6 linked regions of the Oryza sativa Japonica Group genome follow. The protein of the gene in region 4 binds, or shares a complex with, the protein of the main gene of each other region. Links are inferred from orthologs where the notes say so. Each region holds a gene or a part of one and is shown on either strand. Other genes may lie near its edges.

Evidence for each region.
Region 1: small ribosomal subunit protein bS6c (region 4) and small ribosomal subunit protein uS13c share a complex: the UniProt entries of both Arabidopsis thaliana proteins name them as parts of the 30S ribosomal subunit. The link is inferred for Oryza sativa Japonica Group from reciprocal best matches to the Arabidopsis thaliana genes AT1G64510 and EMB3137.
Region 2: small ribosomal subunit protein bS6c (region 4) and rps4 share a complex: the UniProt entries of both Arabidopsis thaliana proteins name them as parts of the 30S ribosomal subunit. The link is inferred for Oryza sativa Japonica Group from reciprocal best matches to the Arabidopsis thaliana genes AT1G64510 and rps4.
Region 3: small ribosomal subunit protein bS6c (region 4) and rps8 share a complex: the UniProt entries of both Arabidopsis thaliana proteins name them as parts of the 30S ribosomal subunit. The link is inferred for Oryza sativa Japonica Group from reciprocal best matches to the Arabidopsis thaliana genes AT1G64510 and rps8.
Region 5: small ribosomal subunit protein bS6c (region 4) and 30S ribosomal protein S31, chloroplastic share a complex: the UniProt entries of both Arabidopsis thaliana proteins name them as parts of the 30S ribosomal subunit. The link is inferred for Oryza sativa Japonica Group from reciprocal best matches to the Arabidopsis thaliana genes AT1G64510 and PSRP4.
Region 6: small ribosomal subunit protein bS6c (region 4) and small ribosomal subunit protein cS23 share a complex: the UniProt entries of both Arabidopsis thaliana proteins name them as parts of the 30S ribosomal subunit. The link is inferred for Oryza sativa Japonica Group from reciprocal best matches to the Arabidopsis thaliana genes AT1G64510 and PSRP3/1.

The regions. Positions count from the first base shown.
Region 1 is NC_089037.1:29,173,911-29,177,451, reverse strand, and holds small ribosomal subunit protein uS13c, read right to left. Parts: upstream 2,403-3,541; 5' UTR 2,309-2,402; coding exon 2,210-2,308; intron 1,516-2,209; coding exon 1,276-1,515; intron 893-1,275; coding exon 716-892; 3' UTR 501-715; downstream 1-500. UniProt on the Arabidopsis thaliana protein: Located at the top of the head of the 30S subunit, it contacts several helices of the 16S rRNA.
Region 2 is NC_001320.1:44,310-46,850, forward strand, and holds rps4 (ribosomal protein S4), read right to left. Parts: upstream 1,107-2,541; coding exon 501-1,106; downstream 1-500. UniProt on the Arabidopsis thaliana protein: One of the primary rRNA binding proteins, it binds directly to 16S rRNA where it nucleates assembly of the body of the 30S subunit. With S5 and S12 plays an important role in translational accuracy.
Region 3 is NC_001320.1:76,198-78,556, forward strand, and holds rps8 (ribosomal protein S8), read right to left. Parts: upstream 912-2,359; coding exon 501-911; downstream 1-500. Other genes in the region: infA (translation initiation factor 1), read right to left, coding at 41-364; rpl14 (ribosomal protein L14), read right to left, coding at 1,051-1,422; rpl16 (ribosomal protein L16), read right to left, coding at 1,532-1,933. UniProt on the Arabidopsis thaliana protein: One of the primary rRNA binding proteins, it binds directly to 16S rRNA central domain where it helps coordinate assembly of the platform of the 30S subunit.
Region 4 is NC_089037.1:36,416,191-36,419,911, forward strand, and holds small ribosomal subunit protein bS6c, read left to right. Parts: upstream 1-1,334; 5' UTR 1,335-1,366; coding exon 1,367-1,780; intron 1,781-2,671; coding exon 2,672-2,917; 3' UTR 2,918-3,221; downstream 3,222-3,721. Other genes in the region: uncharacterized protein, read right to left, coding at 1-164; uncharacterized protein, read right to left, coding at 3,589-3,607. UniProt on the Arabidopsis thaliana protein: Binds together with bS18 to 16S ribosomal RNA.
Region 5 is NC_089039.1:5,295,874-5,298,722, forward strand, and holds 30S ribosomal protein S31, chloroplastic, read right to left. Parts: upstream 1,657-2,849; 5' UTR 1,611-1,656; coding exon 1,427-1,610; intron 1,209-1,426; coding exon 1,144-1,208; intron 1,060-1,143; coding exon 892-1,059; 3' UTR 501-891; downstream 1-500. Other genes in the region: pseudo histidine-containing phosphotransfer protein 2, read right to left, coding at 2,465-2,515, 2,623-2,695, 2,794-2,849.
Region 6 is NC_089038.1:23,520,269-23,523,687, forward strand, and holds small ribosomal subunit protein cS23, read left to right. Parts: upstream 1-1,309; 5' UTR 1,310-1,361; coding exon 1,362-1,631; intron 1,632-2,475; coding exon 2,476-2,757; 3' UTR 2,758-2,919; downstream 2,920-3,419. Other genes in the region: transcription factor MYB106, read left to right, coding at 1-342. UniProt on the Arabidopsis thaliana protein: Component of the chloroplast ribosome (chloro-ribosome), a dedicated translation machinery responsible for the synthesis of chloroplast genome-encoded proteins, including proteins of the transcription and translation machinery and components of the photosynthetic apparatus.

The sequences.
Region 1 (3,541 bases), about 7.2 Mb from region 4:
CAAAGTGAACAAGCCAAGATTGAGCCGAGCAGCTCTCTCCAGAAAGTTCCATGTTCCAACCACACGCATGGTAATCATGGTAATTGGTAACTCAAGTTTAAATCATCTCTTCACAAAAAACCAAAATCTCGACTGGTGTCCGCTGCGGGAAATTTAACTATTTGCCACTCTTGTGACATGGCAATTAACGATTTGCCACACCCTGCCAATAACATGTGGGCCCTCATGTGTCTATGACATGTGGGTCTAGTAGCAAATCGTTAAGCACCATTCGTAAGAGTGGCAAATAGTTAAAAGCCCCGTCTGCTGCTATCAGCAAGGCAGGTTCCTAATATTATTATTCAGCTACACTGATACTCCTCTTTCAGCTTGTAAAGTTAACAAGGCATTAGATCTGACGGTGGCATGTGGAACAAATGGACAGAAAACTGGCGATACGTTAATTCATCAGGAACAGGTCGGTCAAGCATAGATATGACAACAGAAGAGAGACAGCAAGATGATGGACTGAAAAACATAGTATAACCTTAATTTAGCATCAGTTCATGTAAGACAGGTGACAAATATAACTTTTTCAGTGACAGATCACAACCCGTGATTCATCTATGACGACACCAACATAAAATCTCATAATACCAGACAAGAGCGTGGTCAAGCAGAACACAAAAAATAAACAAGAGGCAAAGAACCAAAGGTAAATACATGGCAATGTGTCTTATTCCTCCTGGGAAGCAGGCGACTTCTTCTTCGCAACAGAAGCCCTCCTTCCCTTCAGCGTCCTGCAATTGTTCTTCGTCCTCTGTCCACGAACTGGCAGCCCTAGCTTGTGGCGGATGCCCCTGTAACACCTAATCTCCTTCAACCTCTCAATCGCCACACGATTAAACCGTTTCTGTAAAGCATGGCAAACACATCAGAACTCTATTTTAGCAACACAACATAAATCCACGATGACAGAAATGGGAAAAGAACTACAGAGTCTTTTTTTTTTCAGAACGATCAGTTTAAGGGTACCAAATTTCAAGGAATCTTCAACATGCTACTCCCTCCGTTTCACAATGTAAGTCATTCTAACATTTACCACATTCATATTGATGCTAATGAATCTAGACATATATATCTATCTAGATTTATTAGTATCAATATGAATGTGGGAAATGCTAGAATGACTTATATTGTGAAACGGAGGAAGTACCAAAGTAGGGTAACCATACTAATCACCAAAATTACAGAAAAAAAGTTAAGTGATGAATTAGCAAGGGATAGGGCCATTACAAGGTCTCCCTCAATCATGTACTTGGTAACCTCCTTACGGAGAGTGATGACTTCCTCCTCGGAGAGGTCCTTTGTGACCTTGTTGTCAAAATTGAGGTCCAAGAGGATCTGACGGGAGCGTGACCGCCCAATGCCATGGATGTACTGCAGTGAGTACTCTACCCTCTTGTGGTTCGGGATCTCCACTCCACCAATACGAATGCACTCGATCCGCAGGCCACCATGACCAATACCCCCTTTCTGTCCAGTACCCAATAATAAAAAAAAAAGAATCAAAACCACAACACAGTTAAAAGCACAGGCCTACAAATGACTGGGCAAGTAAAGATAATGGGGTGGGGAAATTTTTTCTTTAAACTTGGTCAAACCTAAAGAACTTTGACTACTTATAGTATGAAACTGAGGGAGTACTAACAAGGAATTACGATTCTTTTTACATCCTATATGCATAATTAACCTTCTTTGCTATTCCTAGTCCCTACATGAATTACATATACACTCTGCTGTCCAAAGAAATACTACTTCGTAACACTATCCATTCTTCCAACATGATATGTGCTAGGGGCAGAGATTCAAACTCATAAGCATACAAGCATATAAATACTAGTTCCTCACAGATGCCAATAATTCTAAAATTGCACAGGAACACTGTTCTTCCAACATCACGGAAAAAAAACTACTGAATTGCACATACTCAAAATTAGTACTGTAGTACACAAAGCACGGCCACTAGCCTCCCCAACCTCCAAGATGGCAAAGATAACAAAACGATCCCAGGGGTTGAGTTGCAATAAGTGATACGGATGTACGATGCGTCATGCGTGAATCACATATCAATCGCACAGAACCAAGGAACAGGACGAGCGAGCAAATGGCCGAACAAGAAGTGGGCGCGGAGGGGGGAGGCGGGGGGAGGGGTGGCTTTGCTTCTCACCTTGGGAACGGGGAAGGAGACGGAGGAGCTGCGGCCTCGGGCGGAGAGGGGCAGGGAGGAGGTGGCGATGGGGACGGAGACCATCGAGAGGGTCGCCATTTCTGCGCTCCCGACGAGGGACGGAGGTGCGTGCGCTTCTCTCCCGGAGCTCTCGGTGCTGTCTCGGATAGAACCCAACGGGAAGGAAGCCGATAAGGTAGCCGCACCTGTAGGCTACCACTGTATCGGCGACTTCTTGGGTTGGGCCTTGCAGGGTACGGCCCAAACAGGTCAAGTCGCTAGTTTACTCCTTCTGTTAAAAAAAGAAAAAGAAAAAAGAACAAGCTAGGAGTACTCCATATCTAGATAACGCCGTAGTTGCAATTTTTTTCTTCAAACTTCCAACTTTTACATCACATCAAAACTTTCCTACACACATAAACTTCCAACTTTTCTGTCACATCGTTCTAATTTCAATCAAGCTTCCAATTTTAGCGTGAACTAAACACACCCTAAGTTAGTACTAGGCTATTAAGTTAGTACTAGGCTGTGTTCTTTTCCCACTTTTTCCAACACATCTCCCTTGTGTTCTGCATGCACGCTTTTCAAACGGTTAAACGATGTGTTTTTTTAAAGATTTCTACACAAAAGTTGCTTTTAAAAAATCATTTTTCAAAAACAATTAATAAATACTTAATTAATCATAAGAAAATGCTTCGCTCCGTTTTACGTGCGCGAGAGGTGAGTTCCTCCCGAACACAGTCTTAAGTTATGTTCCTGACTTTCTTTTTTTTTAAAGCTTTTTTAAGTTATGTTCCTGACTTTCTTTTTTTTAAGCTTTTTTTTAAGATGGAGGGAGTAAACACGAAAGAAAATATTCTCCTCTCTCTAGGAAAAAAAGAAGAATATGTTGTAGCCTTTAGGATCAGCTATGCTGCATAAGCTTCTTCTGAATATAAATTTCTGGGGTTTTTGTGGGAGGATAAAGAACTGCATAAGCTTCCTCTGAATATAAATTTCTGGGGTTTTTGTGGGAGGATAAAGAATTTCAGCACGTTTATAATCCTAGATGTAACAGTTTAGGTACTACTAAATGTAAGTTTAATTCGTATTGCATTTTGTATTAGGATAATCTGTGGGGAACGTTCTGAATATCATCTTGCAGAAATGTCTCAAGTGAAAATAAAATAAATGGAGATAATAGGACAATTGGTGGCAAATAACACATCATTTCAAAACGACGGATAAGGTTGCCCATCCAATTGGGAGCAGTAAGATTTACTGTAAAACCACAACAACCAGATAGTTCCACCGCATCGTTAATTGGGACGTGGGGATTTATAAGAACATTGG
Region 2 (2,541 bases), on a different chromosome or scaffold from region 4:
TTAGATGAAAAGGAATTTTTCTATCTAATAGAACAATGGAACTCTCGCGCGGTTGTGGTTGTACCTGTACTGCAGGAATAGGAAAACTCGCTATTCACTCAGTTTTTTTTCCATAATAAGATTATGGAGGAGAGATGGCCGAGCGGTTCAAGGCGTAGCATTGGAACTGCTATGTAGACTTTTGTTTACCGAGGGTTCGAATCCCTCTCTTTCCGTTTTTCTTAATTCAGCAACGTTAATGATTACAATGTATCAAATCAAATGACAATTTATTCCAGCAATAATACAATACCTTTATTTAATAGAAATTCTCTATACCAAATTACTATGGTATGTAAAATACACATAGAGGAAAGAACAAAAAACAAAAAGGAATCCTAGGGTTAATCCATTTCTGTTAGGTGAATGGGAAAATACGAATTAAGAGCCTTAGGTCGATTTAGTTCGGGGAAAGGGGAAGGGAAGAAAAATTCTATGAACCTTTCCGTTTTTCCTTAAGTTCAAGTTTGACGAGAGTAATATTCTACAACTAACAACTCATTTATTTTGAGACCGACCCACTTCCTATCCAGGATTTTTTTTACTAGTCCTTTATATTGCAATGTGTCAATCGTCAAATGCTTTGGCAATTTCCCCGGGTCGGATGAAGCAATAGAATTTTGAACCAGACGTTTTGATCTTTGGTTATCCTTCGTAGTAATAATATCTCGGGGTTTGCAACGAAAACTTGGTATATCGACTATACGACCATTAACTAAAATATGTCTATGGTTAACTAATTGCCGGGCCTCGGGAATGGTTGAAGCCATACCTAATCGAAAAAGGATATTATCCAAACGCATTTCAAGTAATTGTAGTAAAACCTGACCTGTTGAACTTTTTGCTTTTCCAGCGATATGTACATATCTAAGTAATTGTCGTTCTGTCAGACCATAATGAAAACGCAATTTCTGTTTTTCTTGAAGACGAATACGATATTGTTCTTTTTTCCCAGAATGGAATTTCTTTTTCAGATTACTTCCGGATTTAGGTGTTTTTCTAGTGAGTCCTGGTAAAGCTCCCAGACGGCGTATTTTTTTAAAACGAGGTCCTCGATAACGGGACATGAAGACTCCTTTTTTTATTGAAATTTCATTTTACACAATTAATTTCATTGTATTTACATTACAGAATACATCGAAATTAAAACTGAATTAAAGTAAAGGATAAACAGAGTAAAATCTACTAAAAGTACCACAAAAAAATGGAATTTCATCAACATCTGAATTTTTGTATATATATTATTTATTTTATTGTTTTGTATCTAGCAAAATTGTAGGGTAGACCGACATAATAGATCCTGGCTTCTCCATTTAATTCGGAGAAAAAGAGGTATTTTTGTTCATGGAACATTGATAGAGAAAAAAGCCGACTATCGGATTTGAACCGATGACCCTCGCATTACAAATGCGATGCTCTAACCTCTGAGCTAAGTGGGCTTACATAACAGAAATAGTGTAACAAATAGAAATATGTATAGTATAGGAAATCCGTAAAATGTCAGATCTTAATTATTAATCTTAGCTATTAACTAGTTCGAAATTGGAAGTTCTACTTAGAAAAAAATACTAGAACTTCATAAAATAAAGTTAGATAGATTTTTTTGAACTTTCTTTTTTCTCTAATTCGCAAATCTATTTTTCTAATAGAATCTATTCCAATTTCTATATTGAATTTGATTTTAGATATTTTTAATTTGATATGGCTCGGACGAATAATCTAATACATGGAAAAGAATAAATAATATATATTATATACGAAAACATAATAAAGAGAACATGCGAATTTCTTGTATTTTCAGTCCATCATTATAGACATTTTTTGAGATTATTTTGTTTTTTTTTGTTATTTGCTAATAATTTAATGATTAATATTTCACTAAGGAGAACATAGAATCATAGCAAATGAAATTGCTAATTCTGATTAGCAAAAAAAAAGAATGAATATCAAGCGTTATAGTATGATTTTGAATACTCTAAAAAAGGAACGCGGTAGGTGGGGGAGAGAAAAACCTTGGGATATATTGATTCGCATTGAATTGCAAATACATCAACGATAGAATCAATTCAATGCTGAATTGCAATAAGCGGAGTCTCTCAACTAGAGACGAACCGCTAGACTACATAGAGTAATGAATTCAACGATTCAAAAAAAACTAACAGATGGAGGAAATTGCACAAGGAATCCTGGTCTCAAAGAAAAAGAAAATGGGGATATGGCGAAATCGGTAGACGCTACGGACTTGATTGTATTGAGCCTTGGTATGGAAACCTGCTAAGTGGCAACTTCCAAATTCAGAGAAACCCTGGAATTAAAAAAGGGGCAATCCTGAGCCAAATCCATGTTTTGAGAAAACAAGCGGTTCTCGAACTAGAACCCAAAGGAAAAGGATAGGTGCAGAGACTCAATGGAAGCTGTTCTAACGAATCGAGTTAATTACGTTGTGTTGCTAGCGGAACTCCCTTCTAAATTAGGGAAAGAAGGGCTTTCGAAATCTAATAC
Region 3 (2,359 bases), on a different chromosome or scaffold from region 4:
GAACTTTGAATTTTTTACCCTAGAAAAAAAAAAGAAAAACCTAACCCTTTGAATCTTTGGTATCCTTCAAATCTTCGGTATCCTTCGAGTCTTCGGTACGCTTCGAATCCTTATGGGGAAGTCTATAAATTATACGCCCCTTGCTTGAATCATAACGACTTACTTCAATTTTGACCCTATCCCCCATCAGTATTCGTATAGAACTAGACCGGATCTTTCCTGAAATATAGCCCAGGATGATGGTGTCATTCTCTAGGCGAACGCGGAACATTCCGTTGGGTAGGGCTTCCATAACTAAACCCTCGAAAGTAATTTTTGCTTCTCTCGGGTTTTTTTTTTCTCTCCTATTTTTCTTTTCTGTCATATTTTTTTTTCTCCTATTTTTCTTTTTTTATTTTCAAATAAAAAAACGTTGTATTTTTGTTTGAAAAATAGGAAGTTCAAGATAGAATTTGGGTACTATAACTATAGGTGGGGCGATTACCGCTATAGGCGGGCGATTACCATATATAACATAAGACTTCTCCCCCAATTCTGTTTAGTCGAGCTTCTCGATCTGTCATTATACCTCGAGAAGTAGAAAGAATAGCAATTCCCATTCCGCCCAAAACCTTAGGAATTCCTTGATAGTTGGCATAAATTCGTAAGCCAGGTCGGCTGATACGCTTTAAAAAGGTTCTAGTTCTATATATTCCCTTTCTAGTCTTTCTCTTTTGATGTCGCAAAGTTGAAACCAAGAAATATCTGTTACTTTCCTGATGTTTCCGAACACTTTCAATAAAACCCTCTCGTAGAAGTATTTTAACAATGTTTTCGGTAATATTTGTAGATACTACCCGAACAGTTCCTTTTTTATTCATGTCCGCGTTTCTTATAGAGGTTAGTAAATCAGCAATAGTGTCCTTGCCCATAAGACTCTAATTCTAGGTTCCTCCTAATTTTTCTATAATCAACATGTTCTCTTTTTTCTTTTCGTTTTGGATTCTAAAGCATATACGTGAAACACAATCTACTAATTTTTTATTTGATCTATATCTTGTCTACTAGTATTTATAATACTTCAGGAGCTAATGAAACTATTTTAGTAAAATTCAATTCTCTCAATTCCTCGGCGATCGCGCCAAAAACGCGAGTTCCTTTTGGATTTCCTTTTTGATCAATGATAACCGCTGCATTGTCGTCATAGCGTATTATTATACCGTCTTCGCATTTGAACTCTTTACATGTACGTACAATTACAGCTCGAATTACTTCGGATCTTTCTAGAGGCATTTGGGGCACTGCGTCTTTGATTACAGCAACAATAACATCACCAATACGAGCATATCGCTGATTACTAGCAGCTCCTATGACTCGAATACACATCAATTTTCGAGCTCCACTGTTATCTGCTACATTTAAAAGGGTCTGAGGTTGAATCATATTATTTTGATTTCAATTTGTTATTTCAATGCAAAAGGATGAAAGAAATATTGTCTTTCCAGAAAGAAGAACCTGGTTTTTTATTTTCAATACTACTTTTTTTGGGGGGTTATATTTCTAACCGAAGAAATTGACTTCGTATGGGCATTTTGCTGGCAGCTATGGAAATAGCTCGTCTAGCTACAGTTTCGGATACTCCGCCCATTTCATAAAGTATTCGACCTGGTTTAACAACGGCTACCCAATATTCGGGGGATCCCTTTCCCGAACCCATACGTGTTTCGGTCGGTCTTATTGTAACCGGTTTGTCGGGAAATATACGTACCCAGATTTTTCCACCACGACGTGCATATCGTGTCATTGCTCTTCGTCCTGCTTCTATCTGCCTCGCCGTAATCCAAGTGGGTTCAAGTGCTTGAAGAGCATATCTACCAAAACAAATACAATTGCCTCGGTAGGATTTTCCCTTCATTCTTCCTCTATGTTGTTTACGAAATCTGGTTCTTTTGGGGTTATAGTCGATGGTTCTCTCTTAGTTCCATCTCTACTGCAAAACTGGACATGAGAGTTTCTTCTCATCCAGCTCCTCGCGAATCAAATGAGAAAGTGTGCCAAATTTCTCTAATTCCACAATATTCTAAAATATTACGGATAGATACACATTAATAGGAAAGGTTAGGGTTTTTAATATTGAATTTATTAAAATACTAAAATATATAGTCAAGAAAGAGGATCTAGAATATATCTAGATGTGTATGTTTATTTATCTATATTCTATATTTAATGTAATTCTTTTTTTTTTTTTTTTTAATCTCCTTTTTTTATTTTACTCTTATTGAATCGCGGTAAAGTATTCTAATTCAATAAAAATTTCGCGGGCGAATATTTACTCTTTCCTGTCTTATTTGTTAATTCATAACCTTATCAAATAAGACAA
Region 4 (3,721 bases):
AAGCCGACGGCCCCCTCGATCTTCTCCCCGATGTCGTGGATGAAGTCCTTCACCTTCTCCATGAATCCCCCGCCTCCTTCCTTCTTTTCGCCGCCGTCGTCGTCCCGGCGGTCCTTCCCGCCGCCACGCTCCGTCACCGTGGGGTTCTCCGACGAAGACGACATGCTCGCTAACTTCAGGTAGCAACAACAACAAGCGATCGAATCAAGATCTCACAGCAAGATCAAATCAAGCAAACAGATCGCACGCCATTGCTAACTCCACAAGAATCACCAAAGACTTGATCACAAGAAAGATTGCTTTCTTTTCTCTTTCCTATTCTACACGGCTAGGCTACACACGGCAACAAGATCTGAGGCACAAATATCCTCCAAAACGAAGCGAGAGCAAGTAGAAAGAAACATAGATTGATTTTTTCTTACTTTACCTGTGGGTTGATGCGGAGATCTGGACGAAGCGAGTGGAGATCGCGAGCGGAATGGAGAAATTTAGAGAGAGAAGAAGAAGAAGCACGCGGAGAGATGAGCAGAGCAGAGCACGAGCTTATCGTGGAGCAAGTACGGCGTGGGGCCCACTTGCAGTGACACGAACGGACTGCCAGCTCAGCTATACTGTCGGCTGGACACGAAGTCAGAGGCAAAGCGAGAATTTTTTTCATTTTTAAATTTTTATTTTTTAATATTTAAAAAATATTATACCATCCAAAATATTTACATAAATTACCCCTGACACCTAAGGGTGAGTTTGAGAGGAGGGGAAAAGAGAAGATTGGGAAGATACGTAAAACGAGGTGAGCTATTAGTACATGATTAATTGAGTATAAACTATTTTAAACTTTAAAAATAGATTAATATGATTTTTTAAAGCAACTTTCATATAGAAAATTTTTGCAAAAAACACACCGTTAGTAGTTCGAGAAGCGTGCGTGCGAAAAATGAAACAAACTAACTCACAAACTCCTCCTGCCGAACGCTCCCTAAGTGGAGGGTGGCAAGGTGTGCGTATTTTGCACCGAGATATAATGCAATTTTCACCTTGTAAAAAATACAGTTTTCTAGTTTTTTTTATCTTGTCCGTCCTCACATCACCTTGCCGCCCTCGGGATCTACTTCTGTAAATGTTTTCGCCGTACAATATTTCTGTAAATATTAAAAAATAAAAATTTAAAAATGAAAAAACTTAGGCAAAGCGAAGTGGCTGGAACCTTTACCTGGGCCAATCAAAAGCCGGTCCATTTGGCCCACTAACCCCGGCCCAACAAAAACCGGTTTAATGGGCCTCCATCTAAAAATCCTATCCTTATCTATCCACTGGACACGAAGGCAACACACCTCGCCTACCTCCACTCTCTCGCGCTCGCTCTCCAATGCCGCCACCAATGGCGCTCTCCATCTCCTCCACCGCCGCGGCGACCGCTCTCCTCCCGACTCTCCCGCCCTCGCGCTCGCGCCTGCGCGTCGCGCCGCGCAGGGCGGCGGCTCGGGTGGCGCGCGTGGTGTCGGCCGGATACGCCGCGGGGTTCTACGGCGGGGCGGCGGCTGCGGCCGGTGGCGAGAACGACGAGGTGGGGGATGAGGAGGGTTCGTCCTCGGGGTTCGGTGCTGGGCTAGGGATAGGAGGCGGTGGGCTTGGGATGTCGGCCGCGGAGGCGGCGCTGGCGCTGGAGGAGCGGGAGATGCCGCCGTGCCCGCCCGGGCTTCGCCAGTACGAGACCATGGTCGTGCTCCGCCCCGACATGTCCGAGGAGGAGCGCCTCGCCCTCATACAGCGTTACGAGGAGGTAAAAATCAAAATTACTAGTAAATAATTAGCTGCACTGACTAGGCGCCAATGCATTTGCTATCTGCTGCAGTAGACATGAATTTCCGAGGAAGATTTGTAGTGGCCAATGCATGAGAATTTTATCTTTTGCCAGTTTATGGTAAATCGGGCTGAATTTATGGCACACTGGTAAAACTCAAAATCACTACTAGTGGTAAATAATTAGCTGCATTGACTAGACGCCAATGCATTTTGGATTTGGGCTATGCTGCAGACCTGCTCCTGCAGTTGACATGAATTTCTAGGAAGGTTTGTACTGGCCAATGCATGAACTTGTCATCTTTTCCCAGTTTATGGTAAACCAGGATGAGTTAATGGCATACTTGTTTCTTATTAAAAATGCTGTCATTTGGCTCGTTCTGTCATTAACATTGCTTAAAATCATATATCAGTCATTGTAGGTGAAGCTGAAGCAAATCATTTTGTTGCAAATGTATACTTTCTGGTCAACAGCTACAGCCCCATATTATTTGCGTATGTCATAGTGGAGATACAGGAAGCATAAAATTGTTTCTGCTGTAGAACATACGTTTACTACAGAACCTACCAAAAAAATAGTTTTGTTATTATATATCCATCATTCCATCCTGCGCGCACAATCTCCTGCATTGTTTAGTAGGAGTAGTAGCAATCACCAGTTAACACGCATTCAAGTTTACCTTGGTCTTTTTTTTTTTTTGTCCCATAATTGTCTTGGTTGATGATCAATCAAGCCTCTTGCCCATTCTGTAACCTTAAATTTGATGGTATCCTGAAGTGTGACTTCACTCCATAAGATGTTCACTTGCTACAAACCTATCTGCAATTTGCTTACTGAGTTACTTATGGTGGTTTTTCGCATGTCTTGCAGCTCCTTGTTGCGGGTGGCGCCATGTATGTGGAAGTCTTCAACCGAGGAGTCATCCCACTGGCATACAGCATCAGGAAGAGGAACAGCAGGACTGGTTTGCCATCCACCTACTACGACGGAATCTACCTCCTTGTGACATACTTCACCAAGCCTGAATCCCTGGATGCTCTGCAAATGAGGCTCAATGCTGACGACGATGTCATCCGCTCAACCAGTTTCAAGGTCCGCAAGCGGAAAGCCTTTTAAGATCAGTTTCACCACCTGGACTCAGGTTTCCATGTTTTGGGGAATATGTTTATATCATACAAGAATCCTACTGCCATGGGAGGAGATTGGTTTTTCGCTGCAATCGTTGAGAAAAAATGTCGCCCTTTCTGTTGATAATTTAGAAGAAATTTGTCTTCCTTTTTTTTCGTTATAGCACTGCTCTGATCTTACCTGGTACTCCTACACGTTAAGGGATATTGAACGAACACTTTTGTGGAGCATGGCCTGCTGGGGCCTCTGGAACAAGTTATGCTGTTAACAAAATCAGGGCTCATTTCCTGTACGCCATGGCATTTCATTTATAGGCTGCCTTACCGTGCATTTCATTTGTTGAGTTTTGATCATTTGTTTAACATCAAGACTACCAGGGCATTTAGCTGATAAGAGGGCAAAACACACTGATGGCTGGGAAAAACTAGTTTTGATTAACACAAAATCGTCTTTGGTACACCATAAGTATGATATAAAGTAGTATATGCTGGCCAACCATAGTAGGTCAGAAACAAATGCATACAGCACAGTCTGACGGCATATATCCATGCTCCAGAGTTCTTCAGTAAAAGCTCAACAAACACAATATCTCGGAGGACCACAAGTATCATGTAGAAAAACCAGAATACTCCAAAATCAGCCATCATGGAGCACCAGATTCAGTATCTATCGTGGCGCCTGAAAATAACAACTGTCTAATGTTAGCTCCTAGTGATATAAAGGTTTCCATATCAAAAGCAGATAATTTCATTGTGTTTCTTTGTCATTATACTGTCAAAAGTTTATGGTCGG
Region 5 (2,849 bases), on a different chromosome or scaffold from region 4:
ATGTTAGGACTGTGGGAAAATGTTTGGTTTGTTACTTCACCAAATTTTTGAACAGATGGCGGGTTTGTTTCGTACGTTACCAAATTTTGGTAAGGTAGGGATACTCGAACATATTTGGTTCGTTATCTTACCAAAATTTGTGATGGCTTGAAATGGTAGCAAACAAAACATGCTTCAGGGTTTAGGGTTCTTAAAGCCATTGCGTAGCAGGGTTTACACTTCCAGTTTGGGCCAAAATTGTAGTATATTTCGGGCGAGATAGTTGCTTACCCTTGTGGGCGGGGGGAGCAGCTCACAACAAACTTGCAGACGAAACAACAAAAAATGACAGAATTTTAACATACAATTACCACCAAGCTGACCAGTTGAACTGGTTTGTTGTCCAGCTTTAAAGGAATATGTTTTGCAGATCATCAAAACAATTTCTTGTGTCAAAACTCAAGCGCATAACAGAGTCAACAGACAAAACAACAAAAAAGGGGCAGATTTCTGACCCGATCTGATGGACTGGTTTATTAGTTGATTCTTAAGAACTGCTTCCCAGATCATCACAACAAATTCGAAGCATGTCAAAAGGTGCTTGAATTCAGGGACACAGCTAGAAAAGAAAAAAAAAAGAGATACTGCATCTTCCCTGGTTTCTAGCAAGAACATGAAAGTTTGGTGATTGTATCTGTACTTATGTTCTGCTTCAGCTGGTAATGCATAAAAAATGACTCTAAGCAGCACCATTCATATATATTACAAGGAAAGAAATCATAGGCATCTACATTATGTAGAATGAGACCATGTAATGTACTGTAATTAATTTCAAGAAACAGTGTTTGGTACAGACTAGACAAAAGGTAAGCTCAAGGTAAACCATAATTCAAGGGGGGAAATTCAGACAACCTATTCCAGGATGTCATCGTCGATGTCGATCGGGGTGACCTCGCCGTCGTCGAACTGGTCCTTCCTCGGAGGCGCAGGCGGCGCGAACAGCCGTGCAGGGCCAGTTCCCTTCTTCTTGTTGCGCGGCCTCGCCTGAGATGAGCAAACAGCAGTCAGCAGATGGCAAGTCTGAAGAATTGCAGCAAACAGCAGCACAGGAAGCAATAAGCATATGATTTTTTTATTAATTTTATTTTTGTGCTAGAGACTCACATTTCCGTACGAGTGGTTGAACCTTTTTCCCCTCTTGGTCTTCTTGTCCCCTCTCCCGCAGTAAACTGGTCACACCAAATGGAGTAATTTGAGTTGGAATCGTAATTGGTTCAAACTGCGAGGTTTTTGTTTCAATCTATGTTTTGGTGCTGTATCAATTGAATTCGTGCAATACGATTTGAAAAGCAGTTTCATATAAGATCATCGAGCCAATTTCACACCAGACTAATCCGAATTGACGAACAAAACAGAGACAGGGAGGTTAGGTAGGCATGTCAGTTACCTTCAAGAACTGGAGTGAGCGGGGCCGAGAGGGTGGCGGCGGCGGCGGCGGCGACGCGAGAGCGGGAGCGGGAGAATGCGGCGGCGGCGGGGAGCGCGCAGTAGGAGGAGACGGCGGCGTGGTGGTGGGAGGAGGGGAAGGTGGCCGGGGACGCGGCCATGGCGTGGACGGCGAGGAGCGCCATGGAAGCGAGAGAGGAGTGAGAGCTTGAGGAATGGATGGAATCGGATAAGCTGTGCGTGCATCGGAGTAGATAAAACGGAGGGAAAGGGAAGCCCAGGCCCATGGATTGGGCTTTGTCTCTTGGGCCTATGGACCAAGCCCATGATTGGCTTGGCCCTCTGCAATTCTGATGTTTCTCTTTCTTTTTTTTTTGTCCTCTCATTTCTTTTTCTATAGATAATCATTTTTTTATGATTAAATTATTACTACTAGTATAAAACTTATGAAGAATATAGCAAAGTTATGATATTTTTAGGACTTCTGAAGACAAATCTAGCCATAACGTTTTTAAGATTTTAGAAATCGAAACGTTCAAAATGATATTGATGGTTAAAGCTCAAACACTGTTATGAATATTAGTGGAAGAGATGAAAAACCAGTGTTTTTAAGTGTCTTTGGTTCTGGGAATGTGACTATAGCGTTTGTTGAGTATACAAAGTACAAACAAATAGTTTTCCATGATGGCACCTGGGCAATTAATTAACCCAAAAAACTAGTTTACATATTACTAGTTTCAAACATTAAAAGCTCATATTAGTACCATGACACTTTCTGCTACAATTACTGACTAATAACACAAGTTCATGGCACTTTGTAGACAGGCAAGGAGAGTGTGCATAAGCAGGGCTTTACATAACTTCATACAGTATATATGGATTATGGAGCTACAGATGCAATCCAAACACAACAAAAAGGCACCATTAAGCATTATGAGTATCTGATTGGCACAAAAACTTTTCAGCGACAGAATTTTCAAGAGACTGATAGCTGCTATGTATATGTTCTTTATTTTCCTTGGAACTCATACTGTTCTTCTTACTTCCTTGAGCTCACTGCATAATCACGGGGACCAACTTGCCTCAGTAACTGCATCAGCAGAAGGAACAGGAGATAACCAAGTTGTTTAGCCATGTAGCAATGCTGAAAATAAGGTAAACAGAAAGAGAGAGAGACAAGGATGTAGTACAACATACCTGAAAATATGATTCCAGCTTCTGCTTCAGAGTGGCATGCTCCCTCTTCATCTTCTGAAGAGACCTGCGGCATCTGAAAGAGAACATGGCCTCATCACATCATGTGAGGAAATTGCATGATGATTGGATAGTATGTGAAGAACAAGTTGGACGAGTCAATGAAATGCATACCCTTCCAGATTCCTGTCATTGCAGTTTACTTTGAACACAGAGCACTCATTCTTCAT
Region 6 (3,419 bases), on a different chromosome or scaffold from region 4:
CACGGCGCCGCCGCCGCGGCGGCCGCGCGCGCCGCCATGCAGCCCATGCAGGCGTACGACGAGGCGTGCAAGGACCAGCACTGGGGCGACGTCGACGCCGCCGACGTGGGCTTCCCCGGCGCCGGAGCGGGGTTCACGGGCCTACTCCTCGAAGGCTCCTTGAACCAGATCCCGAGGCCGGCGGGGAGAGACGCGGAAGCCGACGGCGAGTTCCAGGAGACCGAGGAGGAGAAGAACTACTGGAACAGCATACTGAACCTGGTGAACTCCTCGTCGGCACCTATGTCGACGGCCGTGGTTGTGCCCGCCTCCCACGCGTACTCGCCGGCGCCGGACTTCTGAGCGGAGAAAACCTCGCCGGCATCAAACTTGATTCGATCTCATGACACAGTAAATAGTTTAGCAATGATTGTCGAATAAGATGGGACTAATATTAATGTTAGTAATTATTAATCACGTTCTTGGGTTAACCTGACAATGCTTTCGATTAAACTTGTGGGCAAGAACTTCAACTGTTCAAGGCTGTATCGACATTTGAAATTCGATGCTTGTTTTGTTCGGTGTTCTTATAGAATGTGTAAAACACTGAAACTACTATCAGAGAATGTAGCATCCTTACTTGCAAAGTTACTACTCCTGCTTGTTTTTTTTCAAAACTTACGATCATTTCAGTACTTTGTACCCGGTTCATTTCATTCCACTATCAGTTTTTACTACGCCCAAGCGGTTGGCAACTGGGCACTAGCACTACTGAAGGCCAGGGTTTCCCAAACCACCGGACCGGGGTTACCACACGGTAACCGTGTAAAATTTATCAAAATTTAAAATTATTTTTTAAATTTATTTGAATTTAAGGGGGTTACCGCGGTTTCCCTTTTACCGTACCCCACGGTAAGCGCGGTAATCGCACGGTTACAGACGGTTTTGCAAACCCTGCTGAAGGCAAACGGACGGCCTCATCTTTTCGCTTATACTTATGTTTATCAGTCAAAATTTAAATTTTTACCTTTAAATTTGGGGTTGATTTTATTTTTTTTATCGAAGGTTTATTTTTCAGTCTTTGCTTTTAGATCGTTAAAAATATATATATAAAAGATTTATTCACAAATTATTTTTTATTTACAAATATGCCATTTCGTTTATTCTCGAATAACCGAGACGATTGAGCTGTGAGCTTTTTACTTAGATTGGATCTGGGCCGGGCCGTTTTGTGCTGGGCCATATTGGGCTTTACCATAACTTTCTAGCCCACATCTAATAGCTGACGAGAAGGGGATTATTAAGGGTAAAGATAAGAGGAGGCAGCCCCGCACCATCGTCTTCCTCCTCTTATCCGCACAGGAGCCTCGGACTCGGACACGATGCTGGCGATGTCCGTCCACCCCGCCGCCACGCCGGCCCTCGCCTCGCGCGCCCGCATCTCCCGGCCCAAGCTTTCCGCCGCCTCCCCCTGCACCACCTCCTCCTCCTCCACTCCACGCCTCGTCCACCTCGGCAGCAGGAGGCTTCCCCTTCGCTCGCTCCGTGGCCTCGCCGCCGCCGCCGCTTCTGGCGCCGTCGAAGCGGAGGAGGGAGAAGAGGAGAAGCAAGTCGGAGGTGGGGATGCGAGCGCCGGCGAGGAAGCGCAGGAGGTAATGGGCTAGTAGCCGCTCCAAACCATGCCAGTGACTGAAATTACGGGGTTTTTTTTTTTACCGAGTCGAGCTCAATTTCAGAAGGAAGTGTTGTTTTTTGAAGAGGATGGAGTTCAATCACATTTGGTTTCGCATGAATTTGATTTTTCTTGAATCAATTTTGGTTACCGAACTGATTACTTGAGCTCATAGGTGAAATACAGTACGAGGTGTACATTTGGGTGAATTCACGAGTAGAGTAAATCTTTAGACACAATGCACAGCTGAAAGCTTAAGAGAAGTCACAAGTAGAGTAAATTAGAGAAGTTCTAGTCTAGTTGAGCATGTTTGGGCACTCGGGCTGTCCTTTTGGTGCAGTTTTGCACTTCTGCAGATAAAAGGTGTATGCTAGTGATGAAGAGGCGAAGAGCACATGAAAGCATGTCCACAAACTTGAGCGTGTGCCATTTTTGGTTGTATGTGTAAGCAAGAACTGAACTATTGAACAAACTGTAGCATTGACAGGTTTTGGTCATGAAAGGAGTTTTTTTTCATTCAGCTATTTACGTGATTATGTAACAACATTAACAGGCACAATAAGTTCCTTTTTCATCACTATATCAGATTTCAGAGATGTACACTAAAAGTGGATTAGTTTTGATTATATGGGAGTTACCCTCACAGTTGAAAAATGGGGCCTTTTGTAGAGAAATGAAGTTGTCAATGGAACACGTACAGTAGTTGTTGCAATTTATTTTACTACGACTTGAGCTGTGTTAAAACTGCACAATTTATTTTACTCAGATATGCAAAATCAGTATTAGCATTATGAGATTTGAAACGAATTGATTTTGTATCGCAGTACAAGGTTAAGGTGCCTGAAAGGCAGGATCCAATGCTTGTTCTGAAGTTCATATGGATGGAGAAGAACATTGGCATAGCCCTCGACCAGTTGGTTCCCGGCTATGGCAGCATTCCGTTAAGCCCATACTACTTCTGGCCACGGAAAGATGCCTGGGAGGAGCTAAGAGCAAAGCTGGAGGAGAAAGAGTGGATCTCTCAGAAACAGATGATCATCCTTCTGAATCAGGCCACTGATATCATCAACCTTTGGCAACAGGGTGGTGGCAGCTTGTCAACCTAAGAGGATATCTCAATTCTCCCATCCTTGAGAACCTTGTTTCTTTTTTTCTTGCTTTGGTTACACGGATCTTTGTTGTTACATGACCCTGTAGATCGATTCAAACTGTTTTCGGATACGGTTTTGTTTATGGAAATGAATTGTGATTGATCTCTGTAAGGTAAACGATTTGGGCTCCATCATCCGCAGGGAAGATTGCTAATACCTCTTGATACTACTATACCATGATCCAGTTAAATAAATGTAACTCGATATTTTGAACTTGAAGAAAAAGGGGAATTTCTTTTCTTTCGAAGAGATTTGGGGTCACGGGGGCATATACCCCTTCTACTGCGATTAACTAACACCGGTGATGCCCTGAAAAAGCCCGGCCCGCTCCGCGCACCACGAGCCTAGGCCGTCCACGCGTAGGCCTCTGCAAAACGGGCTGCGGCAACGCGTGAGCCTGTGCGAAACGAGCGTGAAAACGCTCGTGGACTCGTGGAGTCGTCGTGGTGCCCGCGCGTCGTGCTGCGACGCTCGTTCTCACGCCGCATGCAGCGCCGCGCCAGCTTGGTCACGGTCTCAAAAGCGTTCAAAAGGCATGGGAGCAACTGAGCAAGGCGTAGCAGCTTATCATCATCTCGGCCAAGGGGGGAGGAGGGGCAAGGCACATGGAGGCGTTG